Linked DNA regions of Sus scrofa. The protein of the gene in region 3 purifies or fractionates together with the protein of the main gene of each other region. This does not show direct contact. Links are inferred from orthologs where the notes say so. Each region holds a gene or a part of one and is shown on either strand. Other genes may lie near its edges. The genes, in order: DEPDC5, CASTOR1 and WDR24.

Evidence for each region.
Region 1: the proteins of WDR24 (region 3) and DEPDC5 purify together in Homo sapiens (affinity purification with western blotting; 4 studies listed by BioGRID and IntAct, with this or other methods). This does not show direct contact. The link is inferred for Sus scrofa from reciprocal best matches to the Homo sapiens genes WDR24 and DEPDC5.
Region 2: the proteins of WDR24 (region 3) and CASTOR1 purify together in Homo sapiens (affinity purification with mass spectrometry; 3 studies listed by BioGRID and IntAct, counting the BioPlex papers as one, with this or other methods). This does not show direct contact. The link is inferred for Sus scrofa from reciprocal best matches to the Homo sapiens genes WDR24 and CASTOR1.

The regions. Positions count from the first base shown.
Region 1 is NC_010456.5:48,513,764-48,523,676, reverse strand, and holds the end of DEPDC5 (DEP domain-containing protein 5), read right to left. Parts: intron 8,091-9,913; coding exon 7,921-8,090; intron 6,637-7,920; coding exon 6,465-6,636; intron 3,375-6,464; coding exon 3,314-3,374; intron 1,094-3,313; coding exon 1,011-1,093; intron 902-1,010; coding exon 609-901; 3' UTR 212-608; downstream 1-211. UniProt on the Homo sapiens protein: As a component of the GATOR1 complex functions as an inhibitor of the amino acid-sensing branch of the mTORC1 pathway.
Region 2 is NC_010456.5:47,260,290-47,270,741, reverse strand, and holds CASTOR1 (GATS-like protein 3), read left to right. Parts: upstream 1-4,012; 5' UTR 4,013-4,184; coding exon 4,185-4,297; intron 4,298-4,311; exon of another isoform or gene 4,312-4,664; intron 4,665-4,881; coding exon 4,882-4,952; intron 4,953-6,389; coding exon 6,390-6,794; intron 6,795-7,061; coding exon 7,062-7,185; exon of another isoform or gene 7,186-7,452; intron 7,453-7,621; coding exon 7,622-7,735; intron 7,736-7,899; coding exon 7,900-7,982; intron 7,983-8,073; coding exon 8,074-8,168; intron 8,169-8,298; coding exon 8,299-8,367; 3' UTR 8,368-8,837; downstream 8,838-10,452. Other genes in the region: TBC1D10A (TBC1 domain family member 10A), read left to right, coding at 1-49, 143-297, 814-1,299. UniProt on the Homo sapiens protein: Functions as an intracellular arginine sensor within the amino acid-sensing branch of the TORC1 signaling pathway. As a homodimer or a heterodimer with CASTOR2, binds and inhibits the GATOR subcomplex GATOR2 and thereby mTORC1.
Region 3 is NC_010445.4:41,081,272-41,091,910, forward strand, and holds WDR24 (WD repeat-containing protein 24), read left to right. Parts: upstream 1-4,143; 5' UTR 4,144-4,818; coding exon 4,819-5,299; intron 5,300-6,370; coding exon 6,371-6,548; intron 6,549-6,685; coding exon 6,686-7,358; intron 7,359-7,851; coding exon 7,852-7,970; intron 7,971-8,048; coding exon 8,049-8,170; intron 8,171-8,248; coding exon 8,249-8,353; intron 8,354-8,432; coding exon 8,433-8,773; intron 8,774-8,933; coding exon 8,934-9,287; 3' UTR 9,288-9,357; downstream 9,358-10,639. Other genes in the region: FBXL16 (F-box/LRR-repeat protein 16), read left to right, coding at 1-23, 328-391, 636-784; JMJD8 (jmjC domain-containing protein 8), read left to right, coding at 9,606-9,697, 9,773-9,889, 10,077-10,125, 10,206-10,302, 10,387-10,455, 10,547-10,639. UniProt on the Homo sapiens protein: Catalytic component of the GATOR2 complex, a multiprotein complex that acts as an activator of the amino acid-sensing branch of the mTORC1 signaling pathway. The GATOR2 complex indirectly activates mTORC1 through the inhibition of the GATOR1 subcomplex.

The DNA.
Region 1 (9,913 bases), on a different chromosome or scaffold from region 3:
CACGGCTGTTGATAAGATTACAAAATGAAAAGGCGTGTAAAGTATGCTACGCTGTCCAGAATACAGGAAAACACCCAAGAAATGGGGCAACCATCATTATTTCACACATCTGAAATGTTCTGGGTAATAGAGGAGGCCTTGTCTTCTATTCAGCCTTCTTTGCCTGCCCAGCAGAGGACAAGACTACTAGCAACCAGGCTGGGGACAGAGAAGCGGCACGTGGCACTTTATTCCTGCTTCTGATCTGTACAGGTATATACAGTCTGTGTGAGCCTATGGTACATTATTTCACAAAATTATCATACATCCTGTACGTGCTTCTTGTCGGGGAGAAGTGGCAGATTCCACTCTGAAGAGCCCACAGACGGATGAACAGTCGGTGGAGGAAGGGATGCTCCTAGGAGCCACCCCGTCTCGAGGACACTCATGGGGGCTCCCCGCCCCCTTCCCCAGTACCGTCGCCCTCCCGGCGTGCTGGTGGCTCTCTCCAGTCATGGGTGGGCAATGGCAGGGGACGAGCTGCAGCAACGCAGCAAAGGCACCCTCACTGCCCAGAGCTTGACTGACCCCACTGAGGGGCAGCAGCAAGCCTGTTCCCGACCTCAACGTCATGGAGCACTGGCATGCATCTTCTCCAGGCAGCTTGTCCAGAAGGCCACCAGCCGGTTGTCACGGTTGATGCAGAAGTCCGTGAAGTCCTTCAGCAGCCGGTCAGCAAACCGGTCATCGCCGGTGGCGCTGGAGCGCCATGTCTTGGTCAGCATAGTGTTGTAGGCCCAGTTGTAGCCCACCCGCTCCTCACAGAACAGGCTCTGGCTGGTGGAGCTGGTGGAGTTGCGGCGCCGCCGTGGCTGCCCCGAGAACTTGCGCTTGGAGTAGGGCAGCTGCAGGAAAACCGTCCCTGCGGGGAGAGGGGGTTTGTAGTGTCCAAGGAGGGAGGGGGAAGGGAAGGCGCCCGCCTGCACACCTCTGGCCCTTGCTCACGCAGAGCATGGAGCAGAGCGCCTTACCTGTAACGTGGATGTACTGAGGTTTGTTCTCAGCAGGGAAGTTAAAAGCAGAGGCAGAATATTTATCTTGGACAAAACCAAACCTAAGGGAAGGACAGGGAGACACGCTGATTAGAGCCTCAGGGAAATTATGGCTGTCATGACACTGATGGCAGGGGAGAAGGGGCCAGCCTAGGGTGGTCTCCTTCCCATGGGCCCTTCAGGCTGCTCCTTCACAGCCTCACTGCTTCCCATCTGCCACCCCTCATTGGCTCACTCTCTCCCCTCTGCCTGGCCCCTTTCCCCCCTCACCCTCCCTGATCTCCCTCATCAGGGCTTCATCTCCACCCAACATCCCTTCCCAATGTATCAACTCCCCTGCACTGTGCCCACCCCTACACCAGAGACTGCCAGCCCCTCCAGGGATCTCGATTCTGCTGAGCCAGCCCTCTCCCCGCAGCCCCTCTGTTCTCCCACACTAGCTGCCCAGTAGGTTCTCAGGAAAGGAACTGTAATGAAGTATCTTCACTGAAACCCTTTCTTTAAGGTGAGGAACACTATCTGGGACTCTGCTTGGCTGTGTCCTAGAAATAGGCAGGAAGGGCCACTCTTCATCCACAGTGTGTCCTGTTTCTGGCTCTTCTATTTCTGCAATGTGTGTTCCCTTCAGCGCTACCTGCTAAGGGCTGTAAAAGACATGCTGACAGATGGGGCTCCTGCACTGAGTCTGAGGGGTTGATGTGATGAGGCAGGACTACAGCAGGTCAAATCCTGTCTCCTGCCCTGCACTGAGCTCTGGGCAGGCACTGTTCTGCATCCTCTATGGAAGCTGCTGCCTTTCCACTAGCACTTGATAATTATTTACTGAAGAACACATGAAGTAACACACAGAAAATTAAAGGGATCTGCTGATGTATACTGAAGCTTGTCACTGATGGCTGGTTCTCTGACAGCAGGAGTGGCTCAAGAGTTTGTCTTTCTTCCTCTCTACTCTCCAATCAAGGCTATTTATTTGTTTGGCATGGCTGGGCCTGACCCCTAATAGGCTCATGAGCTGGCTGGGGTTTTCCTAGTGATAACTGCCGTCTCCTGAGGGCTTATTAAGGCCAGGACATCAGGGGACCCTCTCAAGAGCCCTGTGAGGGGTGAGAACTCACAGGAAAAGCAGTGCCAGGACTTGCCCATGGTGCCTCAACCAGATGCCAGTGGAGGAGGCAGAGGTGAACCAGGCCTGTCTGCTCCCCACATCAAAGCCCTCAGCCACCAACGTCTGCATGCTACTGTCCCAAATCGTACCCCCTCCTCCTGAAGGGAGAAAGTCAGATGCCCTGGCATTCATTTCACAGCCTTTACTAAGTATCGAAGAAGAGAACAGAGAAGAAAAGGGCAGAGTAATGTCTAAAGTGAGCCTGGGCCCACTTGGGTTGGGGAGGCTGAAGAGCCTGGACTTCTTACTGTGGTTGTGGTAGTGTGTGTACAGCGAAGCCTGGAGAGGGGGTGGAACGTCTGAAGGCACCTGAACAATATGATAAGATACTGAACCTGGAACAGAGGCTTTGTTTTTGCCATAATTAACATGAAGCAGCAACTGGACACTGAGTTAGCAATGTTCTAACTCGATGCTCTGGAGGATAGACAGCTAAGCCTAGGAAAGTCTTTCTCTGCTACACATATTAGACATCAATAAATATCTACCAAACTTGGAGTTCCTGGCATGGTGCAGCAGAAACGAATCTAACTAGGAACCATGAGGTTTCGGGTTTGATCCCTGGCCTCGCTCAGTGGGTTAAGGATCCGGCATTGCCTTGAGCTGTGGTATAGGTCACAGACGCGGCTCGGATCCCGAGTTGCTGTGGCTGTGGTGTAGGCTGGCAGCAGTAGCTCCAATTCGATCCCTAGCCTGGGAACCTCCATATGCCATGGGTTCGGCCCTAAAAAGCATATGTATATATATACCAAACTTATCTACTGCTTTTTAACCATTCATTATTTCTTTGACATGTGCCAAGGGGCTCTTAACAAATTTTACAGTTTTTCATCTCATGGCAGTCTTGGCTCAGGGTCTTGTTGGAGACTAAGGAGAGAGATCTCTGCATCCAACTAGAAGAATAGGGGCTGAAAAATTTCAGCTACAGGAACTGAAGAGGCAGTGCTCATCTTTGAAACCAAGGCAGAGGGGTCTGTCGGAGATAAGCAGCAAATCTCTTGGTGGTGGACTGGGTCCATCTCTCCAGAAAGCACATGGACTGGGTTTCGCTATGGTAACTACCACTTAAAACAAACACGGATGCCTCTCCATGCTTCCCTCTTGCTAAGGGACAAACCTGTGTGCAATGGCTTCCTGGAAAAGGTGCATTCGATCCCAGTATGTTTCTGGTTCAAAGTCTGAAAAGAAAAAAAGGAATAAATGCCGAGTTGTGATTCCAAGGTTAGTTCTCCCTGGGTATGGCCTTCAGTATCTTTCACTACAATTCTCTCCCCCTGAGCCTGAGCTTGGCTTTTCCATACCACCTGCTTTCAGAAGCACCAGCCTCTACTCCAAGGAGGGACATCCTAGAGAGAGTGACAGTCCCCAAGCTCCAGCAGGGTCTAGAAAAGGGAATATTATGGGCCCTCAGCCACCAGTATGAGCTACCAGTATTCAACATGAGACTTGTTCTAATAACCACCTATGCGAAAAGCAGAAAGGAGCAGGATGTTAACACGCAACCAAAGGATAAGCTGTAAATGCACACCATTCACTTCTAAGGGAAAAAAAATTAACAGTCTTTCATTTTAGAGGTTGGGGAAATGAAGAAAATAAACATAAAGATGAATTTTTGGATAAGTGATCAGCTGGGGAAGGGTGGGGAGCAGGGCAGACAAGTGCCCGCCTCCACCACCAGCTTACTGCTCCAGCCTGGCTCCTGCAGGCTGGTGTGAAGACAGGAGCAGAGCAAGGAGGTGGTGGTATGGGGCAGTTGTCACACAGCAGAGACAATGGGCAAGGGCTGCTCTGGGGATTGAGGTGCTGAGGGTTGGAGCAGCAACCACACAAGACCTTGTCCCAGGGACCAGGGGTGCCTGCAGGGGCTTTACTGCTTTCTGTATTTGGAATTTTATATATAGGATTGATTTGAAGGCTCTGGGTAACCAAAGAGCACAAAAGCAAAAAAAAAAAAGACTTTGGCTTTAATAAGAAAAAACAGACACAGCAAACTCTTGTCAGGTTTTTTGTTTTTGTTTTTTTTTTTGTCTTTCTGCCATTTCTTGGGCTGCCCCTGTGGCATATGGAGGTTCCCAGGCTAGGGGTCGAATCGGAGCTATAGCCACAGGCCTACACCACAGCTACAGCAACGAGGAATCTAAGCTGCCTCTGTAAACTACACCACAGCTCACAGCAATGCCGGATCCTTAACCCACTAAGCAAGGCCAGGGATCAAACCCTCAACCTCATGGTTCCTAGTCGGATTCATTAACCACTGAGCCACAACAGGAACTCCCTCTTGTCAGATCTTTAAGATTTTGCATTCCCTATTATCAGAAAGGGAGATAACAAGAAGAGAAGTGGCACAAAAGTAAGAAAATCGATTTTTAGATTCAGGTCCTTATTCCTTTAAATCAGGACTCCTTTCTCTCAGCTGTAACCATGGCAACCAACAGAGGATGCTGGTCTTGAAGAGTGGGTTATAACTGGCAGGGAAAACCATCAGCTCACATGAAAATGTCCTCTAGTGTCAGCCCTGCAAGCACCCTGTGCAAAAGTGGAAAACCCCAGAAAAGGGTCTTTCTTTGGATGGTATCGGTTGTAGGGGGGAGACCTCTCCATCCCCTCAACATATTAGAAACAGCAATAAGAGGTGGTGCCTGTGAAGTTCCCAGTGTGGCTCAATGGTAACAAACCTGACTAGTATCATGAGGGTATGGCTTAAATCCCTGGCATCTCTCAGTGGGCTAAGGATCCAGTGTTGCAGTGAGCTGCAGTGTAGGTCGCAGACGTGGCTTGGATCTGGCATTGCTGTGGCTGTGGTGTAAGCTGGCAGCTGCAGTTCCAATGTGACCCCTAGCCTGGGAACCGCCATATGCTGCAGGTGCGGCCCTAAAAAGACACACACAAACACACACAAAGAGAGGCAGTGCCTGGCTTAAAGATGTGAGGTATGAACAAACGAAATCATCTGGCATTGCAGGACTGCAAAAAACGGTCCCCTCTTGGACACACCTCAAGAGGAAAGGAAAATATGTGTGAGTGTGGGGAGTGCTTTGTAAACCCTAAGGATCAGGGGATCTACAGCCTCCAGGGCTGTGAAGCTTACCTGGAACCCCCCCAACTATAACTTAAAGCCTTGTGTCTATACAAAGATGTTTTCCAAGATGTAAAAACATACACTTGGGCCTTTAAAACAAAAGCTGTTTGCACCTAGGGGGCCAGTTCTCTGTCACCAAGCACAGCAGACTCACAAGAACCTGGGAAGAGGGCCTCTCCTTTGCGTCAGTTTTTTCTTCCACATTGATCATTTCCATACCTGAAAAGCCAAAGTGCTCTGACACACCAGCAGCAACTCTAGGTTTTCGTTATAAAAGGATCATCTGTGAGCTCATGGGAAGCTTTGTAGGAACCAATTACATGCTCATTGCAATGAGCACTTGGAATGAGCTTGTGCTGTGTGATGGTGGCTTGTCCCCAGACCTGTCCCTCCACCTGCTCTTGGAGTCCAGTGGAAGATGGTTGGGGCAGGGGTGGTAGTGGGTGTCTGTGGGCTCCGTTCAAGGGTAGGGCTCTGAATGAGTCCTCCTACTCTGCCATCTTTGAGAGATGGGCCTCCTAGTGCTGACACCTGCACCCTGTCTCCTGTTTTGCTTTCAATGTCCCCATTTCAGCCTTTTTTCATGGAACAGCAGATCCAAGCCTCCTGTGAGGTTCAGATTCCCGCAGCCCCAACCAGTCAAGCTGGAGCAGAGAGAATTTTGGAAATTCTCCCCACTTGGGAGGGGTGGGGAGCAGGGCAGACGAGTGCCTGCCTCCACCACCAGCTTACTGCTCCAGCCTGGCTCCTGCAGGCTGGTGTGAAGACAGGAGCAGAGCAAGGAGGTGGTGGTATGAGGCAGTTGTCACACAGCAGAGGCAATGGGCAAGGGCTGCTCTGGGATAGAGGTGCTAAGGTCTGGAGAATCCCAGTCAGCTCCCCATTTACAGCACAGTGCCCCCTCCCGCCCACCACCCCTTCCAGGTCTCAGGAGGGTCTTCCTGAGCTGGAACGGCAGCTTTGGCCGCCCTCGTTTTAGGAATAAGGCATCTGAGGTTCAGAGACACCGAATGACTTGATCACGGTTGCCCAGCCACTAAGGGAAGAACCAGGATTAAAACTCCAGCCCCTCGTCCAAAGGTTCCACCTTTTCCTTAGCCTCCAGGCACTTAGAGGAGGCAACCTCGGGGGAGGGGTCTGCTTGCAGAGACAGGCCCTCTGGGGGGGGGGGAGTGGGGGCGTGTCTTACTGTCAAACAGGTGCTCACTGCCCTCCTTGAGCAGACAGCTGATGTTGAGCGGGATGAAGAGCTGGGCCCGGAGTGGGTCGCCATACAGATAACTGGGCAGTGCAAAGGGACCCTCCAGCACCGGCACCAACAGAAAGCCACAGGAGGTGGCCTTGCGGTGCCAACCTTGGACCTGGCGGAAAACACAGAGACACATAGTGTCACCTCCAAATTCCCTCTGACAAGAGAAAGTACTTTCAAGGAGGGTGCTGCCTGGGGGCAGCCTGCACATTGACTAACATGTTCACTTATCAATGTCCACTGGTTGCAGACCCGTCCCAGGAGGAAGAAGCACAGTATAACCTCCTGACAAATACCTGAAGGACCATGAGGTGAGCACACAGCTCCTCTTCAGGCCCAAGCTTCTGCAACCTTGGGGGTTCTTTTGGAGGAAAGACCAGGGAGAACTATTTTCTGCCTCTTCTTGGTCAATGGATGTTGGGGGAAGGTCCTGAGATATTGGTTAAGTCCTTCTAATTTTGTCCTTTATCAAAAATTTACTAAGTCCAAAATATCAAATAGGAAAACTGTCCACTCAGGCTGGCCAAGAGGGACATGACACAGGCAGCAAGACAACCATTGTAGACTCTGGCCAAAAGTGACAAGCGCTGACCTGGCAGAAGGAGAGCTGTTCTCTGCAAACTCCTAAATGCTGTCTGTCCAATGAACGACCAGGAACAAAAGTTACTGGGGCATCAAGACCAACCTCCCCAGCAGGCACTTTCTTGGGGAACAGTGGCAATTTTCTAAGTCTTAAGATACTTTTTTTTTTTTGGCTTTGCCCACAGCATGTGGAAGTTCCTGAGCCAGGGATCGAACCTATGCCACAGCAGCGACCCAAGCCACTGGAGTGACAATGCTGGATCCTTAACCCTCTGCTTCACAAGGGAACTCTGCTAACTGTAGGATCTTAATTACATAAAAATGGATCTTTAGTTGTGCAGATAGACAAATGGGAGCTGGAAGGACATGTCAAACTGTAAAATGCTTGTGATTATGGATGACTTCGATTTTTGCTTCTTGTGATTTTCATTTTCCTATGACTTATTTCCTATTAACTACATGTTAACTTTTAAGAAACAAATGTTATTTTAATAACCTGAAAAGATGACGCAAAACAAAAACAACAAGGCTTACTTATTTATACTGATACAGAAGATATGTAGGTAATACTAATACAACAAGAATAAATAGTATGTATTCTGAGCTACTATGTCTGTTTAAAAAAAAAAAAAAAATAGGACCTCTATACACCCAGACTCTCTGCAAGGACCAGCAAGGTGTCAGGGCAGCTGGAAGGTAAGAGGAGTCTGAATTAAAACAACTTTTAAAGTGACATAATTATGATTCTCTACCGAGCACCTGCTCGTCTGCCTTTCAGGTGAGCCAAGGCCCACCACATGCAAGGGGGTCTTACCATCTCAAAGAGCACTGCGGCAGTTACTGCCATCCAGTGTAGCTTGATCTCGAAGGCCGCATTCAGCGAGAAGTTACCGTGGTAATAACAGCTGCACCACTCCAGTCGGTCCGTGCGGTTGTTCACATCCACATCTAGGGTCACGGTCCTCTGCTCCGGGACAGTGGCAGCTATGTCAGCATGTGGGAGGGCCCCAAGAGATGGAAGGGAAGGAGCAGGATAAGGGGGAAAAGTAAACAATTGAGCATCTAGACATGAAACTGCTGGACCACCTAACAGAACATCAGACTTGAGAGGCTCCTTGAGGAACATGGACATTTCTGGGCCAGGGATTGAACCTGAGCCACAGCAGTGATGATGCCTCCTCCTTAACCCAGTGAGCCATCAGGGAACTCCAAGTATCAGGGTTTGGACCGAGTGCCCTACAGTCCCCAGAGCCTGAGGTCTGGTGGGCTGTCAAGAGAAGGCTGAGAAGCACAAGGCACGTGAGCTGCCCAAGGGACTCAGGGCTGCTTTTTCCAGGGTCTCGGATGCCCCTGAGCGCCAAGCTCAGTGACACCAGATGACAGGGGAGGGGAAGTGGGAGCTAGTAAGGGCCAAGCCAGACAGGACCAGGCATTTCAAAACACCTTTCTGCAGCTAACTTCCAACTGAGAACTAGAAATGTCTAAAAAGGAACACAACGAAATGAATGAACAAAAAAAAGGAGCAGGTCATAAAGGATACAAATCCCTTCTTCCCTATAAATCATATTCATTTTTTTCTGAGAAAAAGACTCAACACAACTGATCTTCCTCACATAAAAAAATGACACTGTTAAAGTCTATATTCTAACCAGAAAAAAAAAAAAAAAGTGCTGCGAAGAAGGATCGCGGATCATAACACAAAGGTGAGGAGATGTTACTGGAGAGAAGCAGCTGTGATCATGCCGTGTCGGGTATAAAAGGAACAAGAAACCCACTTCCCGTGGGAGGGCTGGTGAGAAAGGAAGCTGATGGAGTAAAACTCTACTATGACCATCATGGGAGCCTATGAAAAGTTAACATGAGGATGTTTTCCCAGCAAATACTCGCATATGAAAGATGCTGCCCAGCTACAGGATTACTGCCCCCCTGGTGCCCGCAGCCCCAGGTTATAAACTCCCTGCTGCAGACATCCATCTTCTCTTCATCCCACCCTTCTGATTTTTTGGACATGTTTTTCCATAGAGTGTTCCTTTTTAACCACAATTTTTTTTTTTTTTTTTTTTTTTTTTTTTTTTTTTTAAGGCCACACACAGCATATGGAAGTTCCCAGGGTAGGGGTCAATTTGGAGCTATAGCTGCTGGCCTACACCACAGCCACAGCAATTCGGGATCTGAGCCACATCTGTGACCTACACTACAGCTCAGACCAATGCCGGATCTTTAACCCACTGAGTGAGGCCAAGGATTGAACTTGCATCCTCATGGATACTAGTCAGATTCATTTCCACTGGGCCACAACAGGAACTCCTAACCACAATTTTTTGAAGAAACTAAGAACCAAAGCTAAACTGAATGACTGGAATCTCATCCTGAGCTTCAGACCATGTTTTAGAAAACTGTTTTGCCAAACAGATCTGTTAGATTTTGGCTTTTTTTTTTTTTTTTTTTTTTTTAAGGTAGGGAGGGTAATTATTAAGTTATTTAGAAAACTTCCTTTTCTTTGCTTTCTTTTTAGGGCTACACCTGGGGCATATGGAAGTTCCCAGGCTAGGGACAGAATCAGAGCTGTAGCCACCAGCCTACGCCATAGCCACAGCAACTAGGAATCTGAACCATATCTGTGACCCACATCCAGCTCATGGCAACGCCGGATCCTTAACCCACTGAGTGAAGTCAGGGATCAAATCTGCATCTCAGGAATACTAGTCAGGTTCTTAACCTGCTGAGCCACAATGGCAACTCCTGAAAAAACTTCCTTTTCTTGAAAGTGAAAGGGCTTATTCTGATGAAAGGGCTTATTCTGATAT
Region 2 (10,452 bases), on a different chromosome or scaffold from region 3:
TTACCCTGGAGCTCCGTGCTGCGTGTCTGGGACATGTTCTTCTGCGAAGGTACCTCTGTCCCTAGTCCAGCCCATGAGGGCCTCTATTTCTAGAGAAACTCCCTAAAGGGCCCCTCGCACTCACTGCTGGCTCTCCATGCAGGAGTCAAGATCATCTTCCGGGTGGGGTTGGTGCTGCTGAAGCATGCGCTGGGCTCCCCCGAGAAGCTCAAAGCCTGCCAGGGCCAGTACGAGACCATTGAGCGGCTGAGGAGCCTCAGCCCCAAGATCATGGAGGAGGCCTTCCTGGTCCAGGAGGTACAGTCCACATCTTCCCCCCACCACTGGGAGGGAGGGGAAGACATGAGGGTCTTTTGAGGGCCTGGTAGCCCTCTGCCCCCAAGGCCTGGTGCTCAGCAGCCCAGGATTGTGCACAGATCTCATCCTTCTGTCTGCATGAGAAGAACAGGCACAGAGAGGCCTAGGTCTTCAGGAATATGAGTAGATGCAGCTCATCACCCCCCTTCCTCCCTGGCTCCATAACCATGGTTTTGCTTTATTTTCCCTTTTTTTTCTTTCCATTGTGGATTTGTATCTGGGGCTGAAATGGGGTGACACATAGTTAGGCAAGTAGACTCAAGAGTTGTGGGGAGTTTTCTCCTCTGAGGCAGTGAGTATAAAACTCCTGGCTCACCTGGCACTCAGGGACTTTTGACCACCACTACTTTAGTGACCAGGGCTGGGACAGCTGAGGGAGAGCAGGGGCCCAGGCTGGGGGGCAGAAGGGGAAGGTTCTTCTTCCTGGTGCCCACCTGCCTGTCACCACCCCTACAGGTGGTAGAGTTGTCAGTGACAGAGCGCCAGATTGAGCGCGAGCACCTCATCCAGCTGCGGCGCTGGCAGGAGACCCGGGGTGAACTGCAGTGCCACTCGTCGCCCAGGCTGCACGGCGCCAAGGCCATCCTGGAGGCAGAGCCTGGCCCATGGCCCACCTTGCAGCCTTCACCATCCATCCGCCTGCCTCCGGACGCCCCCCTCCCTGGCTCCAAAGGCAAGTCCAAGCCATCCAAGCAGGTCCAGAAGGAGCAGAAGGAACAGCGGAAGCAGGCGAAGGCGAGTGGGCAGCCAGACAAGCCCACAACCACAAGTCAAGCCAAAGTGGTGGCCGCTGCTGGAGATGCATGTCCCCCACAGGATGTGCCCTCGAAGGACCCAGGCCACCAGGACCCAGCCCCTCAAGACTCAGCTCCCCAGGACACAGCCCACCACCGCTCCCAGGAGAGCCTGACATCCCAGGAGAGTGAGGACACCTACTTGTAACCATGGCAGCTCAGGCCCCGGGGCTGGGGTCTCCACACACCTATACAGTACATGGACTGACTTCAGGGCCTGCCCACCCTCTGAGGGCCCGGTCGCCTGGTCGGCAGGGAGTCTGGCTGGCCCAGCACAGATTCTGCCTGAGCCTCCTTATTTATTTTCTCCAGAGTGGAGCTTGGGCAGGCCCAGCTGGGGCAGGCAGAAGTGGGTGAGGCCTTGTTTGGCCCCCTCCTCCTGGAGGCATGTTCTCCGGGACCAGGGCACTGATGTGAGGGGAGAGGGAGGGATAAAGGGTGGGGTGCTCTTTGTGTAAAATAGAAACATGGTTTTGTACAGAAATAAACAGGCTTGTGTAGAGAGCTGGTGTGCAGCTAGGGACTGGAGAGGGGGGTCTGTTCCCCGACCCCCGCTGTGCTCAGCATTCTTCTCCATACCCTGCAGAGGCCCCATCCTGGTCCTAGTGCAGCACTAGAGCCTTTCTGGGAAGTACCTTTGCCAGAGGGGAGGCCAAATCTAGGGCCCGCTCCTATTCCTGGCCCCTGTATCCTCTTATCCTGTCCCCTCTGACCCATGTTCACCATCTGCCATGGATGAGGGTCACTAGTGCTGGGGCAGAGCAGAGCCTGCTCCCCAGGCCTTGATCCCTGCCCATCACCGAAGGGGAGGGGTTCCTTAGGGAGGTCCTTTTAAGGGTCTTCCTCTTCTAAGGTCTAGCCTGGATGCTATTTTGGACCCCAATAAGGTAATGAGTATTCATTCTGGGTTGGGTGCTGGTGCCAAGAGTGAGGGATCATGAATGCCCTCACATGCTCATCCCAGGCCTCCATCAAAAGCAAAGGGGTGTGGGGCCAAATCTGTATCTTTGATGAAAGGCTACCTGCCATGTAGCATATGCCAGGCTGGGCTGGTTGTGTCACATGCCTGATCAGGTAGGTTTTATTATTGTCCCCCTTTTATGGATAAGGAAACAGGAGCTAAGTGGGAAAAATGAAGCTGATCCAGATTTGTACCCAGAGCCCCCAACTACCTCTCCTGACTTTGCCATTGAAGGCCCAAGTTGGCAGTAGTGTCATAGCTGATGACTGGCAAGGGTGAGGACAGGGTGTCCCTGGGAGAGGCCCCCCTTCTGCTGAGGAAGCAGCTTTTCCAGTCAAACAATAGTGACTGTTCTTGGCTGGCCACCAAGCTGGGCTGGGCAATGGGGGAGCAGGGAGGCAGGACTAGAGCCTCCCTGGGAGCTTTTAAGCATCTCAGGGCCTCAGCCTGGAACATCTTGTCCTGGTACAGCTGGGGATACTGAGGCCTGAGGAGGTCAAGGGTCACATGAATCTGTCAGGGCAAACCACACCCTTCCTACCTCCTGCCCCTTACCCCTGTGGCTTCCTACCCCATGTACACCTGCCGTCAACCAGATGAGGGGCTCAGCCTCCTGAGGACACCTCCCACCCCCTGGCCCTCTAGGGGTCTGGCCAGGATGTGGTGGCTGCAGTGTTCCAGCAGAACCCACCAAACTGGTGAGTCCAGGGAGGGAAGGTGCTGCCCCACTACTAGCTGCGTGCAATTGCCGCCACCCCCCACCCCACGCCCGCCCGCCCCAGCAGGTAGGAGGCCTGCTCAGGCCTGCTGGGACCCAATCAGGCCTGAGGCCTGCTTTAACCTGCTTGGTTCAAAGCCTTGGATCTGAGGCCTGAGGATGTGCAGGCCAGGCAAGGGCCCCTGGAACATGTCCCATCCTGCTGGGAAACCAACCTAGGTGTGCTGATGTCTGCTCAGCACTGGGGTCTTTGCAAACCTGAGAGGCCTGAGCAGACCCCAGCCCTAATGTTGAAATGAACCCAAGGTGGCACTAACAAGCTTCAGATCTGGGGGCCTCCTTGGACATGAAACAAGCTTAAATGTGCTCAGGCCCAAGTTCTAATGACTGTAGGCTTTTAAGTCTGACTACACACTGGGCTCTGGATGCATGGCCCTGCCCCCCAAAGTTTGAGCTTTGGGCATTCCTGTCCCAAATACTTAAGTCTTAAGCCTCAAATGTTAGTCCAGACTACCTTCAGCTCCCTACCCTACAGTGTATTGCTCAGAGGTAGCTGGGGCCCTCCCCATCTTTGATTCTGGTGGGGAGCCTTCTACTCTGAAAGGTGGGTGAGAGGAACAGATGTGGGGACCACCAAGTTCAGGTTGGGTTTCATCTTGTTAGCCCACTCACAGGGCTCACAAAGCTTGGAGGGGTTTGTATCAGTGCTATCCTGGGCTGTGGAACTTTTTTCACTGCCACCCCAGCCAGTTCTGGTGGCCCTGCCTCATGCTAAGCCATCAGAGGAAGGAGAGGGAAAGGTGCCAGGACCCTTTATTGGGACAGAACAACAACGTCTCCTAGGTTGCACAGTGGACCCCTACCCACCCATGTTTCAAGGATTTGGGAGCAGTGTTCTGGTCACAGCCGAGCCCCGGTTCATCTTGTGGCCCTCCCAAGCCTTGGTGAACTTAATCAGAAGGCCCTTAGTGCAGAAAAGACCCCAAGCCTCCCCGGGCTCTCCGGAGCAGCTGCGGGAGTCCTGCGGAAAGGGCGGAGCCCGGAGTGGGGGAGAGGCATGGGCGGGGCCTGGAGGACGCGACGGGGGTGGGGTTAGGTGGTGATTCCGGAGCCAATGCCGAAGGGGCGGGGCCATAAGGGGCGGAGTGAGTCTCTAGCGTTACAAGGAGGCGTGGCCACCCTGGATTGGCCCCCAGTCCTGCGCGGCGTGGCCGTCAGGGAGCTGGCGTGGCTGGCGGCTAGGACTCTGCGGCGCAGCGGCTCCTTTAAGCACCTCCCGGCACCGCCCCCGCCGCCCCGCCCCCGGCACGGCCTGGGTCTGTTTGGCCGTGGGGTCGGGTCCGCGCGGACCGCGATGGAGCTGCACATCCTAGAGCACCGGGTGCGGGTGCTGAGCCTCGCCCGGCCCGGTCTCTGGCTCTACACTCACCCACTCATCAAGCTGCTCTTCCTGCCCCGCCGAAGCCGGTGCGCGTCCGGGTCCGGGCACAGAGGGGGGTGGGCTGCACTGTCACTCTGAGATGGGATCGGGAGATTAGGACCTCCGCGGGGCCAGCGGGAGCAGACAGGGAGAGCGCTCCCCGCCCCCCGCTCCCCACCGCCGCCATCCGGCCTGGGCCTACCCTCCCTGGGACCGCCGCCTATCCGGCTCGTGAGGCCCCCTCACAGAGCTTGTTAAGGCGCAGACAGCCTGGGATGGTCAGTGCTTAACTCCTAGTGGTTTCACATGGGGGCATTTCTTCCTGGCAACTTCGGAGAACTTTTTCCAGCTGCCTCTCATCGGGTCAGAGGGGCTGGTCTAAGGGGGCTCGGACGCCCGGGACTGCCGCCTTGGGTGAGCCTCTCCTTCCTCTTGGAATGCTGGGCAGGGGCTTCTGCAGAGATCTGGGCGGAGGAAAACGGTTCGCAATTCTGGAGATGGGGCCCACGCCCCACTGTTCTGGGGAGGAAATTGAGTCTGGAGGGGGCAGGGAGACGCCCAGCCGGGGTGGGGGGTGTCTGCCCGCCCCCTCCGCCCACCCAGGCTGAAGATGCTCCCTGCCCCCACCCAGGTGCAAATTCTTCAGCCTGACGGAGACCCCTGAGGATTACACGCTCATGGTGGACGAGGAGGGCTTCAAAGGTGGGGACTGGGCTGGGGAGGGTGAGTAGGGGAAGGAGGTTGTCCTCCCCTTTTTGCAGGATTCTAAGAGAATGCTAGGATCTAATGTACCAAGAGTTGGGGCCCTGAAGGCAGATGATCTGGGTTCCAGTCCATTTCCACTACTCACTGGCTGTGTGCCCTTGATCAAGTCACTTCCCCTCTCTGAGTTGTTTATTTCGTTTTATGTAAAATGGATATAGTTACGGTTCTGATCTATTTGGCCCCATGAGGGTTTTATAAATGGGGCAGTGTGTAAAGGGCATTTAGCAGCCACAGACCAGCAGCAGGGCCTCAGTTACAGCTCTGGGGCAAGAATCAGGCTTCTGTGGCTGTTCTTGCCCCCCACCCCATTATTTCCCCTTGGGCTTCACTCCCTGGTGTGGGTCACTCCCTCCCTGACTGGTCTGGGAACTCCGAGAGTCTGAGGGTTGGGGAAGGAATGCAGGAGCCGGCAGCCAGCCCAGGGCAGGATCCTACGGGGCCTCCTAGCTGTGTTTGGGCGATTAGCAGCCACCTTGGCTGTGGCCCATGTGCTGGACTGGACACCAGCCTGGTCCCTCCCTGATCCCTGGAGCTGATATCTGGCTTCTCTCCTGCCAGCTTGACCCATCCTTACAGGCCTGGAGTCTCTGGCCAGCCAGCTGGGGCTCCCTCCCTCCCCTACAGGGCTACTTAGTTTCCCTATTTATGCTGCGGAAAAGTCTGGGTCTGCTAACGAGGAAGGCATCTCCCAGCCAACTTGGACTGCTGGCTCCCCCTGGTGGTACCACATGGTGTAAGGCCTCTGATACTCAGTGCATACATACTCAGTTTCTGTAGGAGAAACAGGCTCTCAGAAGTTAAATCATTTGCCACAGGTCAACAGAAAGTAAATGATGAAGCTGGGATTAAAACCCAGGTCTGTCTGAATTTTGAGCTCCAATTTTATTTTATTATTTTATTTTTTACCTTTTCTAGGGCCACTCCCGCAGCATATGGAAGTTCCCAGGCTAGGGGTCTAATCAGAGCTGTAGCCACCAGCCTGCGCCAGAGCCACAGCAACTCAGGATCTGAGCCGCGTCTGCAAACTATGCCACAGCTCACAGCAACGCCAGATTCTTAACCCACAGAGCAAGGCCAGGAATCGAACCTGCAACCTCATGGTTCCTAATCAGATTCATTAACCACTGTGCCACGACGGGAACTCCAAGCTTCCATTTTAACTGGGAAGTTTCAATCCCTGACAGGCCAACACCCAAAGCACTTCTCAGTCTTTGCATATATGCAGGTCTCAGGAGCAGAACTTGGGGGAGGAGGACAGCTCTATTTTCCAGAGTGGACCTTACCTTGGTAGAGCCCTCCAAAGCGCAGACAGGGAAACTGAGGCCAGGGGCCAGCCCTACAGGCCCTGACTGGGTGTGTCCCCCTGCCCCACAGAGCTGCCCACGTCTGAGTTCCTACAAGTGGCCGAGGCCACGTGGCTAGTGCTGAATGTGTCATCCCACAGCGGCACAGCAGTGCAGGCTGCTGGGGTCACCAAGATTGCCCGCTCAGTAATTGCACCGCTGGCTGAGCACCACGTGTCCGTGCTGATGCTGTCCACCTACCAGACAGACTTCATCCTGGTGAGTTTCCTGCAGGTGCTGGGGCAAGGCAGGGTGGACACGGGTGCCTGGGGACCCGTGTATTGTGTCATCTTTGTGGCCCAGGTGCGGGAGCAGGACCTATCCGTGGTGATCCACACACTGGCCCAGGAATTTGATATCTACCGAGAGGTGGGCGGGGAGCCTGTTCCTGTTGCCAGGGATGATTCCAGCAACGGCTTTCCCCGTGCCCAGCATGGTGAGGGTCACCTCTGACACCCAGGCCTGGTGGGGGCTCCTCTTCCCACTGGGGCCCTTCCCTTTGTGGGTGGGTCTGTGGGCTTGGGGAGACCAGCTGACACTGACCCCCTCACAAGATAGGGAGACACGGCAGGGAAACTAAGGCAGATTCCGGTATGTAGCAAGTGACCCTACACCTAGCCCAGGCCCCCTTTCTGGCTGGCCACCAGGGGGCACTCCAGCCCACAGTCTCCCTTTCACCCACCACCACCTGCTCCCTGAGCAGGGCCCAGCCCCACAGTGCATCCCATCCAGAGCCCACAGAACCGCTTCTGTGTCCTCACGCTGGACCCTGAGACACTGCCAGCCATCGCCACCACCCTCATCGATGTCCTCTTCTACTCGCACAGGTGGGCCTTGTTTGTCTCTTTGATCTCACAGCTTGTTCCCTACGCTTTGTCCCACCACCTTCCACCAGTCCCTTGGCTCTGCAGTGCTGTACCCTGTTCCATGTCTGGGGTTCCTGGCAGCCTGCAGTGCCCACAGGCCCTTCACTGAGGTTCAGGCAAGGTCCTGGTGCTGCAGCTGGAGCCCTTCCCTTTGGGGTGGGCAGAGCTACTCCTGAAGTGTGCCCTGGTCAGGCCCTGTGGTCCTGGGATCCTGCATCTTTGGCACAAGTAGGTTCATCCTCCTCCCCCATCCCTACCCATGGCATGGGGAGGAAAGTGGCTCAGGGACATGAGCATCTTCCCAGGGCCACCTGTGCCAGCCCCTTCCCAGGGGTCTAGAGGCCCACTGGGCAGAGAGGGAGAGGGAAGAGTGCCTGAGCCTCCTATCCCTTCCCAGTGGCCCTAAGGAGGCAGCCTCTGGCAGTCCTGGATCCAGCTCCATCACCTTCTTTGCTTTCTCCCTCATCGAGGGCTACATCTCCATTGTCATGGATGCTGAGACACAGAAAAAGTACGTGACCCCTGACCCCAGGTGGGCCACAGACCCTAAGCCAGTCCCTAAGAGGAAGGAGGTGGAACATCAGACTCCAAGGTCATCAGGCTGATCTGCTCTGGGGGCTCACAGTGGGGCAAGGAAGAGACAGGGTACCCTGCCCACCACCCCTGCCTCCCCAGGTTCCCCAGTGACCTGCTGCTGACCAGCTCCTCGGGGGAGCTGTGGAGGATGGTGCGCATCGGCGGACAGCCCCTGGGCTTTGGTGAGGGCTGCACCTTGTGTGTCGGGGGCTTGGGAAGGGCCAGGAGGGGGGCATCAGGGTGATCCACATGGACCCCCTCCTCCACCCTCAGATGAGTGTGGGATCGTGGCCCAGATTGCAGGTCCCCTGGCTGCGGCTGACATCTCTGCCTACTACATCAGTACCTTCAACTTCGACCATGCCTTGGTGAGCACCACCGTCTGGGGCCAGGGCTCCTGCAGGGACACTGAGGCCCAGGAGGGGGCCCAGGAGGTGGTCCCAGTCAGGCCAGGAAGTTGAGCAGCCGTGACACCTTCCTCTGTCCACCTGCCCGCAGGTGCCCGAGGACGGCATCAGCAGTGCTATCGAGGTCCTCCAGCGCCGGCAGGAGGGCCTGGGCTCCTGAGCAGCAGCCTCCGGCCTCTCCCCTTGCCCTCAGGCTTCCAGAGATTTCTCGAATATTTCCTCAAGCTCTGGGACATTCCTGCTGGGGGATCCCTCCTTCTGCTCTGTGTATATAAGCTGTGGGCAGAGCACCGGCTCTCACGTGGACACACGTGTCTGCCCCCCACAGGGGAATACGGTGCTCAGGGCTTCCTCCAGGAAGCCCTCAACCCATCACTCCCTGCTGGGCCTCGGCGTTTGCACATTCCCTGCCTGAGGCCCAAGCCTTCCCCCTTTCGGTAGCCCCGTCTGGCTGGCTGCTCCTGGACAGGGCCCTGATCTCCGTTCTGCCTCGGGCTGGGGGTTGCCTTCCCTGGCCAGGTGAGTTCTGACAAGTGCCTCCCCTTCCTGGGACCACCAGAAGTATTTTTACATCTCTCTCTCTCTTCCTTTTTTTATCAACTTGTTAATAAAGAGCTTGTAGTGAGTGGGCTGGGCTGTGGTCTTTGGGGTTGTTCAAGCCTTGGCCACAGCTACTTTGCTGCCCCTGGGGGCCCCTCTGCCTGAGATCCTGGACTCTCCCTGTGCAGCTGGCTCAGGCCGGGATCGCCTCACCTCCCACCATTCTCACCTCCAGAGCGTAGGTGAACCATTGCCATTCTCCAGATGAAGGACCAGAGGTGGGAGGTGGAGTGACTTAGCCAGGGTCCTATGGTTCCTGTCAGGGCTGCCTGGCTCTGGGGTCCAGTCACTTTCTTCATTTCTTGCTGCTTTTGAATAGTCTACACGGTTCAGAACAGGGGCAGAGGCTCCTGGACCTTCCTGCTTGGAGCTCCCCCAGGCTCCTTGCCACCTTGGGTGTGGCTGGCCTGTTGCAAAACACCCTTAAGGGGGGCCCCAAAGCACCTTTTCTCCAGGCTGCTGCCTGCTTTCTTTTGGACCACACCTGAGTTCTGGCTGTCCCTCACAGGAGACTGATCAGTTCTTGCCACCAGAGCTCCCACTGGAGCAGTGGTAGGAGGGAGCCAGGCAGAGCGGGGACCTGGGAGCCCACATGCTGGGCTTCACCTGGCTGGGAGGACAGGACAAGGACCTGGAGGCCACCTGGAGCCCACTCTTCCTGTGATGGCCGCATGCTGGGGTCAGAGGCTCCACACATCTGGGCCCAGGTTTCCTGCCACAGAGGGGCCGCCTCCCCGCTCTGTGAGCTGGGACTCCACCGTGGCCCAAGGGGGCCCCACAGACGCTGGGGAGGTTATCAGGTGCCCTCAGCCTAGGCCCGCCTGTGCCCAGGAAGGGAAGAAGGGTGTGACTTCGGCGTACTCAGAGGTCTTGGTGGCTCCCCAGAAAAGCCAGAACCAGGCCAGGCCTCTGGCAGTGCGCCCACCCTGCCCTGGGAACCCGGGGGCTGCAGATCAGAGGAGCAGGGAGCATAGCCCAGCCCGGTGAGTGAGCTGTCGGGGACCCTGGGCCAGCCTCTTCCCCTTGGCCTCAGTTTCCCTGCGCATTGAGACCCAGGAGGCAGCTCCTTTAGGACCCTAACCCAAGGGCCCTGGGAAGGGGACGTTTATTTGTAGTTTGTCTCTGGGCTCGTGGGGCGGGGGGTGTTCCTGCTTTTCTCCCTGGGCTTTGGCTCAAGGGATGTCCTGGGCTGAGATGGGACCAGAATTCTTGGGGCTGCCTGACCTGTGGCTAGAGAGCCTCTGGCCGCATGTCCAGCTCTGGGAGTCTGTCCTTCTCTCTGTCCACTTGTGAGTCATCCCAGCTTCCCATGTCTGTTAAAGTGGGTCCTAACTTGGCACAGGTTCATTCTTGGGGCTGCCCTCTGGACTGGTCAGGATAGGAAGCCACAGGCACGCCTGGTGGGATGATCTGACTCGGACCCAGGCCTAGAAACCAGCATACCCACTTGGGTCTGTGCCTCACATGTGTAAGCTTGGGGAGGGTGCTTAGCTCTCTGGCATTAGGGTCCCTGGGGTCACTGGACCAGTTCAGCCTCCACAGATTACAGATGGGGAGACCTGCTGTGGGGATGTCAGGAGACCCAGACCTTCTGAGGGTTGGGCCACAGGGTTTGGGAGATGCCTAGAGGACATAGCATCTCTGA
Region 3 (10,639 bases):
TCTACCTGCGATGGTGCTGCCAGGTACCAGGCCTCCGCGCCTCCGGAGACCCGGGAGTAGGCAGGGGAGGTGGGGGGGAGCGGGGAAAGCCGCCACGCGGAAAGGACGCTGACCCGCACCCGGCCCACTCAGATCCTGTAAGGAAATCCGGGACCCCTCCACACACGCACTGGCCGACGTAAGCGCAACGCGTGGTGTCCCCAGGGCCCCCGCTGACTCATTGGCGAGCGGAGACACCACCCCCCGCCCCCTGTGTACTGGCCCCAGGCGTGCGGGTCCCTTAGGGCTCGAACAGAAATAGTTAACGCGCTCCGCCCTCCCGCTCAGGTGCAGGACTTCGGGCTGAAGCACCTCCTGGCCATGAGGAGTTTGCGTCTCCTGTCTCTGGCAGGTGAGACCCCCCTCCGCCCGCCCCCCTGCATAGTGAGCACCCACCCCCACCTAGCCCGACCGCGCCAGCCCCGCCGCGTGCCCTGTGCCAATCCGTACCTGGGGCTGACTCGCCGTGTCCCGGGTCCCAGTCAGAGGGCGGAAACGCCGGGCAACCGGTAGCCCTGCCGCGCCCCGCCCTCGGAGCCCTCGGAGCACTCGGGCCGCGCCCACTCAGCCGCCGCCGCCTCTCCCGCCCGCCGCAGGCTGCCCTCTGTTGACCGCCACCGGGCTGTCGGGCCTGGTGCAGCTGCAGGAGCTGGAGGAGCTGGAGCTGACCAACTGCCCCGGGGCCACGCCCGAGCTCTTCAAGTACTTCTCGCAGCACCTGCCCCGCTGCCTCGTCGTCGAGTAGCGCGGGGCCTCCCCGCCCCTCGGCCCCTCGCTCTCCTCCCGGCCCCGCCCCGAGCAGGGAGGGCGGCGGGCGGGCCAGCCCCGCGCACGCACGCACGCACGCTCGGGGACTCTGTGCATGCCCCTCGCGCCCGCACTGCACGCCCGCCCTCCGCCAACGCGACAGCCGCCTCCATCGTTCGCCCGCCCCCTGGGGGCGGGGGGCTGGGGCTCGGTCCTGGGGGCGCTTTGAGCTCGCCAGCCGGCCGCCGTGATCGCCGTCCCCGCCACACCCCGCTCTGTCTCCCCGCCGCCCCCCCACCCGGGCAGGGCCCAAGGGGGTTGAGGGGAGCTGGGTCCCCCAGGACACAGGGGCCCGGAAGAGCCCCCTGGGCTTCCCGCATCTCCCCCTGCACCGCGCCTGGAGCCCTCGGAGGAGTGCGAGGGGAAACAGGCCGCCGCCAAAGCCATGGCCCGCCCAGGAGCCCAAGTCCCAGCCAGCCTTCCCCCACCTCATGCCAGCCTGATCCCAGCGACCTCGCCTCTTACTTGCCGCCATGTGAGACCAGCCCTGCTCGCCCCACCCCCACCCCAGGCCTCAGGCCCTTGGGTCCTGGCTCGGCTAGGGCAGAACTGGACTAGGAGAGGGGCTGGCAGCTGACAACACAATCATCGACATTAGCCGCAACCCAGGGGTGGTGCGGCTACCGGGAGAGACCTGAAGCGGGTAGTCAGCCTCAGGGCCTCCGGGCCTTGGGAGCCTTCTTGGGTGGACCCCGCCCCACAAGCCCTGTAGCCAGCCCGGCCCGGGCCCCTCAGCACCACCCTCCATCCCGGGCAGGTCTCTGTCAGGTGGAAGCTGGAAAGGGGGCCCCAGCCAGCGACTCTGATCTTCCAGTGGCCAGCACACCCTCACCACCCAGGGGGAGGGAGGGCTCCTTTCCAGCCACGCCCCCCTCCCCAGCTTCCCAAATCTCTACCTGCCCACAGGGGCTCACCGTGTTCTGCCCAATCCCAAGACACTGGGAGGTCCTGGGGGTGCTGGCACATCTTGGCAATTGCTGAGGAGGGGGCTGGGACCCCTTTCCATCCCAACCTTGAGCCCCAGGATATCCAGCACCCATAGCCAATCTTGGGACACACCCTCCCCCCCATCTGGTTGGAAGAGAGTAAGCAGTTTCCAGAGAGCCAGACAGAGAGAGAGAGAGAAAGAGAGAGAGAAAGAGCGAGCGAGAGCTGCTGTTGAAAAGAAACAGTTCAACAGCCCAAAGATTTCCCTGCCCTTGGAGTGCTGGTCAGAGGCTCCAGGGCTGCGGTGGTCAGGAGCCAGTTTCTGCAGCCCCTCCTCCCCACAGCTCCCTAGTGGGGAGGGGCAGCTGTCCATTTGTCCAAAGTATTAATGCAACTGAAGCTGTGATATTTCCAACGATTGTAGGAGGAAAAATTAGGGGGAGAGAGGAAAACAAAACCAACCCCTAAAACCATTTTCTTATTGTACATAACGACCTCATTCTCCTGTATATGCGGAAGATATAACCTTATATTTGGTAAGTGTTTCTTGTGCTATTTTATCACGTGACCTGTTTATAAAAATATATATTAAAAAAAGTTGTAAAAACACGTCTGACTTGTTTGGAGGTCATCAGATCATGCTGGGGGAAGGTGTACCTCTCCTGTGTGACCCGAGTCTGAGTATGTGTGCAGCTCTCAGTGCATCCATTACTGGTTCTTTCAACAAAGAGGCAGAGGCTGGTCACACTGTGCCAGGCAGGAAACCCAGCTGGGACCAGCACAGAAGGTCCCTGACCTCTCATTGCTTAAATCGCTAAAATCATTACACATCGTATTCGCCCAAAATATTTAGGATCCTGCCCATCCTTCCAGAAGGGCAAAAATGAGCCCTGTTTGGGAGTTCCTTTGTGGCACAGCAGGTCAAGGATACAGAGTTTGTTGCTGCAGCAGCTTTAGTTGCTGCTGTCAGGTGGGTTTGATCCCTGGCCTGGGAACTTTCACATGCCCTGTTTCATGCAGAGGGTCACGAAGGTTAAGAAAGGTCAGAGGGGAGTTCCCGTTGTGGCACAGCGGAATCGAATCTGACTGGTATTCGTGAGGACGTGTGTTCAATCCCTGGCCTCGCTCAGCAGGTTAAGGATCTGGTGTTGCTGTAAGCTGCGGTGTAGATTGCAAACACTGCTCCCATCCCGCATTGCTGTGGCTGTGGTGTAGGCTGGCAGCTACAGCACCAATTCAACCCCTAGCCTGGGAACCTCCATATGCCCCAGGTGTGGTCCTAAGCAAAACAAAACAAAACAAAACAAAAGATTCGCAGGAAGGGTCGGGGAGTTCCTGTTGTGCCCCAGCGGGTTAAGAACCTAACACGGTGTCCATGAAGATGCAGGTTCAAACCTTGGCCCTGCTCAGGGGGTTAAGGATTTGGCTTAGGCCTGCAGCTGTAGCTCCGATTCCACTCCTAACCCAGGAACTTTCACATGTCCCAGGTGCGGCCTTAAAACAAACCAAAAAGGGGTCAAGGATGTCTTAAAAACTCACAGTGCAGCTAGGAGAGATGGGGACTCATACCCAGGAGAGAAAAGGAGGCTCTGGGAGGATCACTGATGTAGCCAGTTGTGTGGAACAGGTGGGGGTCCGGCACAGGAGCTCTTGTGGGCAGAAAGAGACATGCTCCCTGCCTGGTAGGGTTCACACTCATTTGCAACAGAAGGTAACTAGCATACAAAGGGAAGGGTCGTGACAAGTGCTGTGACGGTAACAGTTGACTGTATGGGCCAAGTTAGATGCGGTGGCCCAGAAAGGCCCCTTAACCAGCCACTCAGCTGAACCCTGCTAGATGAGGAGATGCAGCGGAGGGCGAGCGAGCCCGTGCGACGGCCGCGAAGCAGGAGAGAGCACGGCCGGCTGGAAGCCGCCATGGCTGGAGGTGCTCGGGGAGAGGAAGAGGCCAGGAGTTTGGGATTTCTTCACAGAGCATTGGGGACTTAAGGAGAATCTTAGGCCGACGAGTAGTACCTGTACGCTGTGCGCGTTCGGATCAGGGGGAACGAGGGACGCAAGGAGAGCGGTTACGGGGCTGCGCCCGGGATCGGGTGGGAGGGAGAGGGAGGGGGCGGAGACGACGGAGGGACTCGGGACTCGGGACTCGTTTAGGGTTGCCCGGACTTGCTGACGTACCTTCGCGGAGAGATGAGCACTGGTGTTAACATACTGTAATAAAAAGGCCACCAGCCGAGGCGGAACCGAGGGAACCCCTCTACCCTCGTCCCGGTCCACCCCTCCGCCTCCAGCAGCGGGGCTCCTCGACCCGGAACTTTTGTGGTGTGGGACCCGCTTCCGGTGAGAGACTGGCAAGAAAAGGACCACATCCGGTGAGGGGCGTGAAAGAGAAGGAGTGCTTCCGGTGCGGCGGTTCCGGCCCGGCCCGGCAGTGTTAGCGAGGGGTTCGGTTTCTCTCCGAAGGAACGACTTCTCAGTTCGTCTGGCTCTGTCTCGGTGCCGGCTGCCCCCGCTCCCTCGCCGCCTCTGTGCCGCCGGCCTCTTCTGCTTCCGGTCCCGCCAGACCCCCCTCCGCGCCCCGGGGCTCCTTAAGCAGCTCGATCCTTGAAGTCCCCCCGTGTCCCCTGTGCCTCTATAGCCTGTGTTCTCCGGGCCCCTCTAGTCCTTCTGCCCCCTCCCCTGAGGGCGGCTCCCCGGGCGAGACAGACCGACCGAAGGCCCAGTGACGGTCCTGATCTGGCAGTTGGGGGTTTGGAGAGGTGGCCTGGCAGGTACGATCTTCTTCAGAAGTGAGACATGGGACTGACTGGCCTCGAGGCAGCCATGGCGCCTTCTGACTGCCCAGCTAGGGGGATGGAACTTTCCTATCACACTGATTAACCGTAGACTGCCCTGGACCGGCTCCCGAGACTGACCAACCGAGGCCTAAGCCGTTTTGAAGGAACTACCCAGCTGACAGGCACTAGCCAATCCCCCCTCTCCCGCCCCCGCCCCCATCAGGCCTGCCCACCTCACTGACCTTTCCCCACCACTACGCGTGCAGCTATGGAGAAGATGTCCCGGGTGACCACAGCCCTGAGTGGCAGTGCACTGACAGGTCGCACCATGCACTGCCACCTGGACGCGCCAGCCAACGCCATCAGTGTGTGCCGTGACGCGGCCCAGGTGGTCGTGGCTGGCCGCAGCATCTTCAAGATCTACGCCATCGAGGAGGAGCAGTTTGTGGAGAAGCTGAATCTGCGTGTGGGCCGCAAGCCCTCGCTCAACCTGAGTTGCGCAGATGTCGTCTGGCACCAGATGGATGAGAACCTGCTGGCTACGGCGGCCACCAACGGTGTGGTGGTCACCTGGAACCTGGGCCGGCCGTCCCGCAACAAGCAGGACCAGCTGTTTACGGAGCACAAGCGCACGGTAAACAAAGTCTGCTTCCACCCCACTGAGGCCCATGTGCTGCTCAGTGGCTCCCAGGATGGCTTCATGAAGTGTTTCGACCTTCGCAGAAAGGACTCTGTCAGCACCTTCTCGGGTGAGGCCCTTGGAGGCGAGTCGGGCCGGTGTGCATCTCTGCAGGCGCCTGGCCTGTCTAGGCAGGTTGGGAAGTGCCGTGTGCATCACAGGCCCTCAGCTGTGCTTCCAGAGGGCTTCCTGGAGAAGGGGCAGGCCGAGCTGGCGCTGGAAGAGTGGGTGGAGGTCAGCGGAGGGGGGCGGGGGAGGCCTGGTGGAAGTGCGAGGCGCATCTGGAGTGTGCTCACAGCTCTGATGCACTTGTGGGGCCAGCCGGAGCTGAGGCTGAGCGTGGGATCGGGGAGAGGGCAGAGCCAGAGCAGATCCACAGCCACCCTGGGCAGCTGAGCAGTCTGTTTCTCTGCCTTGTCTTGCCTCAAAGCTCCAGACCACCTCATTTGCACAAAGTCTGCCTCCAGGGTCCTCAGCCCAGGGAAGCAGCAGCAGCACCGTGGTGTGTGTGTGTACACACTGCCTCGTCCCTCCAGAGGTCTTTTCCCTGTTGGCCCAGCTCCCTGATGACCCACCTCGAGCCGGCTCCCCCTTTTCCACCTCCAGGAGATCAAGTGAAGCACGGGGCAGAGCCCTCTGGGAATGGGGGGCACTCAGGCCAGACCTTGAGTTGGCTGTGCTGGGAAGAGCTGGACACTGCCCTTGAAGGCTCTTGGTGTGGTGGCCCATGGGGGTAGACGTGGACCCTCGAGGGCTCTGGTCCGCAGGGGCTGACCCGGCAGCTCCAACTACAGGGGAAGGGACTGGGCAGAATCCCGGCTGCCCCATCCATGCCTCCTTGGGCCCAAGGCCCCCAGAGGAGAGTGGACAGATGGTCCAAAGAGGCTCCTGTTCCCACAGTGCTCTGGTATCCAGTCCTGAAGCTGGGCACAGCTTTGCACGAGGACTGATGTCAGACACAGAATCCAGGGGAAATCGAGGCCCCAGAGCCAGGGCCGAAAGCCACCCGACACCTGGTGTTCCTCTTGCTGGCGCAGGCCTCATGTCTGCTCCATGAGGCCTCCTGGCCTGGGCGACGGCATCCCCATCCACTGCGAGGGCCCCCCACTGACCTGCACCCCCACCGACGTCCTGCCCGCAGGCCAGTCCGAGAGTGTGCGCGACGTCCAGTTCAGCATCCGGGACTACTTCACCTTCGCCTCCACGTTCGAGAACGGCAACGTGCAGCTCTGGGACATCCGGCGGCCCGACCGCTGCGAGAGGATGTTCACAGCGCACAACGGGCCTGTCTTCTGCTGCGACTGGCACCCCGAGGACAGGTGGGGGGCGCTGGGGCCGCGGGGCAGGGCGGGCGGGGCCTGTGGAAGGGCTCTCCCCGCCTCAAGCCCTTCGAGGCAGCGATCGGGGAGCCCTCCCCCCGCAAGAGGACCCTGAGGGCTTCCCGCGCCTTCTGCAGGGGCTGGCTGGCCACGGGTGGGCGCGACAAGATGGTGAAGGTCTGGGACATGACCACCCACCGCGCCAAGGAGGTGCACTGCGTGCAGACCATCGCCTCCGTGGCCAGAGTCAAGTGGCGGCCCGAGTGCCGCCACCACCTGGCCACGTGTTCCATGATGGTGGATCACAACATCTACGTGTGGGACGTGCGCCGGCCCTTCGTGCCCGCCGCTATGTTTGAGGAGCACCGTGACGTCACGACAGGCATCGCCTGGCGCCACCCGCACGACCCTTCCTTCCTGCTCTCGGGCTCCAAGGACAGCACCCTGTGCCAGCACCTGTTCCGCGATGCCAGCCAGCCTGTTGAGCGCGCCAATCCTGAGGGCCTCTGCTACGGCCTCTTTGGGGACCTGGCCTTTGCGGCCAAGGAGAGCCTAGTGGCTGTGGAGTCGGGGCGCAAGCCCTACACTGGGGATCGGCGCCACCCCATCTTCTTCAAGAAGAAGGTGGACCCTGCTGCGCCCTTCGCGGGCCTCGCCTCCAGCGCCCTCAGCGTCTTCGAGATGGAGCCCGGCAGCGGTAGCATGAGCTGGTTTGTGGACACGGCCGAGCGCTACGCCCTGGCTGGCCGGCCGCTGGCTGAGCTCTGTGAGCACAACGCGAAAGTGGCTCGGGAGCTCGGCCGCAACCAGGTACAGGGGGGGGTCGGGGGGGGGGCACGGGCTGAGGGCCGTGACCTCACGCAGGCACTCCTCTGACTGCTGCGCCCAGACCCTGCTCCGAGTTCAGAGCGCCAACGGAGCTCTTGCCCAGGTAACTGAGGGTATCGAGAACCCCAAGACTGGGCCAGATGCGCCAGCGCCGTTTTGGGATGCAGGTCTGAGGTGCTGTGGCTGGAGCCCTATCTGGCAGCTTACTCTGGCTTTTAGACTTCCCAGGGTGTTGGCCCTGCAGAGAAGGTGTGCATACTGCCTCTCTCATCACTTCCCTGGGACCCCAGGCTCCCTCCCTCCTTTCTTCTGGGCCCCTGCAAGGTCGAAGCGAGGCTTTTTCCTTCTCGTGGTCCTCAGTTTCCCAGCTGGGGCAGGCCAGGACATGGGTCCCTGGGGCAGCTGAAAGCTGAAGGGTTTGTGGTTCCATCCAGGGCCCCAGAACCCCCATGAATGATCAGGGCTCCCCCCATAGGTGGCGCAGACGTGGACCATGCTACGGATCATCTACTGTAGCCCTGGCCTGGTGCCAGGCACCAACCTCAACCACAGCGTGGGCAAGGGCAGCTCCTGCGGCCTGCCACTCATGAACAGGTAGATGCCTGGGGGAGGCTCTTCCCAGAAGGTGGCATTGTTGGAGCCTACCCACCCACTGGCCTTTCCTGCTCTCAGTTTCAACCTCAAGGATATGGCCCCAGGTCTGGGCAGCGAGACGCGGTTGGACCGCAGCAAGGGTGACACGCGGAGTGACACAGTGCTGCTGGACTCCTCGGCCACGCTCATCACTAATGAAGGTAGGCTGGGGGCAGGGACAGGGTGTTCACGGGAGCGGGGCAAGGGCATCCCAGAGTGAGCCGCCCTCCCTCCTGCAGATAACGAGGAGACGGAGGGCAGCGACGTGCCTGCCGATTACCTCTTGTGTGATGTGGAGGGTGAGGACGATGAGCTGTACCTGCTGGACCCTGAACACACGCACTGTAAGTGAGAGCTTGGGGAGGGGGGCGGCAGGTGGGGTCAGGGGCTCAGACCCGGCTGCCCCCCACCCCTGCATTGCAGCCGAGGAGCCCGAGTACGTGCTGCCCCAGGAGGCCTTTCCGCTGCGCCACGAGATCGTGGACACTCCCCCCGGGCCCGAGCACCTGCAGGACAAGGCCGACTCGCCCCACGTGAGCGGCAGTGAGGCAGACGTGGCCTCCCTGGTGCCCATGGACTCTTCCTTCTCCCTCATCTCGGTCTCGCACGCGCTGTATGACAGCCGCCTGCCGCCTGCGTTCTTCAGCGCTCTGGTGTGTGACATGCTCCACTTCTACGCTGAGCAGGGGGACGTGCAGATGGCCGTGTCGGTGCTCGTTGTGCTGGGGGAGCGCGTGCGCAAGGACATCGACGAGCAGACCCAGGTGGGTGGGTGTCTCCTTGGAGCAGCTGCCACCCCCATGACCCCCCCCCACTCCGCCTACACCCACACCCCTGTCTGTGCCCAGCACACTTGGGTGAAATCCCTCAATGTGCCCGCCAACCTGGCCTCCTACCTCCCTCCTCCTTTCCCTGCACCACCAGGAGCACTGGTACACATCCTACATCGACCTGCTGCAGCGCTTCTGCCTGTGGAACGTGTCCAACCAGGTGGTCAAGCTCAGCACCAGCCGCGCCATCAGCTGCCTCAACCAGGCCTCTACCACCCTGCATGTCAACTGCAGCCACTGCAAACGGCCCATGAGCAGCCGGGGCTGGGTCTGTGACAGGTGCCACCGCTGCGCCAGCATGTGCGCCGTCTGCCACCACGTGGTCAAGGGTCTGTTCGTGTGGTGCCAGGGGTGCAGTCACGGCGGCCACCTGCAGCACATCATGAAATGGCTGGAGGGCAGCTCCCACTGTCCCGCCGGCTGCGGCCACCTGTGCGAGTACTCCTGACCCCCCTGCGGGACCGGGAGGGGAGGGGTGGGCTTTTGAACCAAATAAAGAAAGTGGGAACCGCGCGGTCTAAGCTGCTTGTTACTTGGGTGCGTCGCTCACGGCCCGAGTCCCCGGTTGGGCGACTCCGGTACGTGTGTGACAGCGTGTCCTCAGCCGCGGGCAGTAGCCAATAGCAGCTCTAGGTGCGGCCCTGGCCCCGCCTTTTCGGACGTGCCCTCTCCTTCCGGGGCGGGCCCAGAAAGCTGCTTCCGGCAGCCGGGCCGTCGCCCTGACAGCGGGGCTCTCGGGGTGCCTCGCGGCAGCGGCGGCGGGCTCATGGCGACGGGGGCGCGGCCATTCCTGCTGCTCGCGCTCTGGGCGCTGGCGCGTCCAGCCAGGAGTCCCGGGGAAGAGGGCGACGGAGGGTGGTGAGCGATGACGGGCGGGCGGGCGGGGCGGGCGGTGGGGCGGCACGGGGCACTGATGAGCGGCTGCGTCCGCAGGCGGCGGCGCGAGCCGGCGGCGCCGGCCGTCGTGGTGGAGGAGGAGCGCTGCACGGTGGAGCGCCGGGCGGACCTCAGCTACGCCGAGTTCGTGCAGCAGTACGTGCACCCTCCCCGGTAGCCACACTCCCCACGCTCCAACACCCGTCACTAGGGCTCCCCCTGCACCACTGAGCCGAGAAGCTGGTCTGCCGGCCTGTCCTCTCGAAGCTCCCCTTGGGCTCGGGAGGGCCAGGGCGGCGGCAGCGGCGGCGGCGGCGGCGGGCGCCCATCGGACCTGGCCGTAACCTACCCTTCCTTCTAGCTACGCCTTCTCCAGACCTGTCATTCTGCAGGGGCTCACTGACAACGCGGTAAGTGCTCACGCCCGTCCTGGCCACCTCTGGCCCCTACCCCGGGCCTGGCCCCTAAGTCCTCTCCCCATCCCAATCAGAAGTTCCGGGCCCTGTGCTCCCGTGAAAGGCTGCTGGCCTCGTTTGCGGACAGCATGGTCCGGTTGAGCACTGCCAACACCTACTCCTACCAGAAAGGTGAGCTGCCCCACTCTGCTTTCAGCAAGCACCCTGCAGGCAGCAAGCACCAACCAGTCCTGACCACCCTCTTTTAAACTGCAGTGGACCTGCCCTTTCAGGAGTATGTGGAGCAGATGCTGCACCCTCAGGACCCTTTCTCCATGGGCAACGGTGAGCCAGATCTGGGTGGTCATGGGGTGAGGTGACTCAGCGGTGCCCACATGCCAAGATCCCTGCATCCTCCTGTGTTCTCTGCCGGCAGACACCCTGTACTTCTTTGGGGACAACAACTTCACCGAATGGGCATCACTCTTTCAACACTATTCCCCACCTCCATTTGGTCTGCTAGGTACCA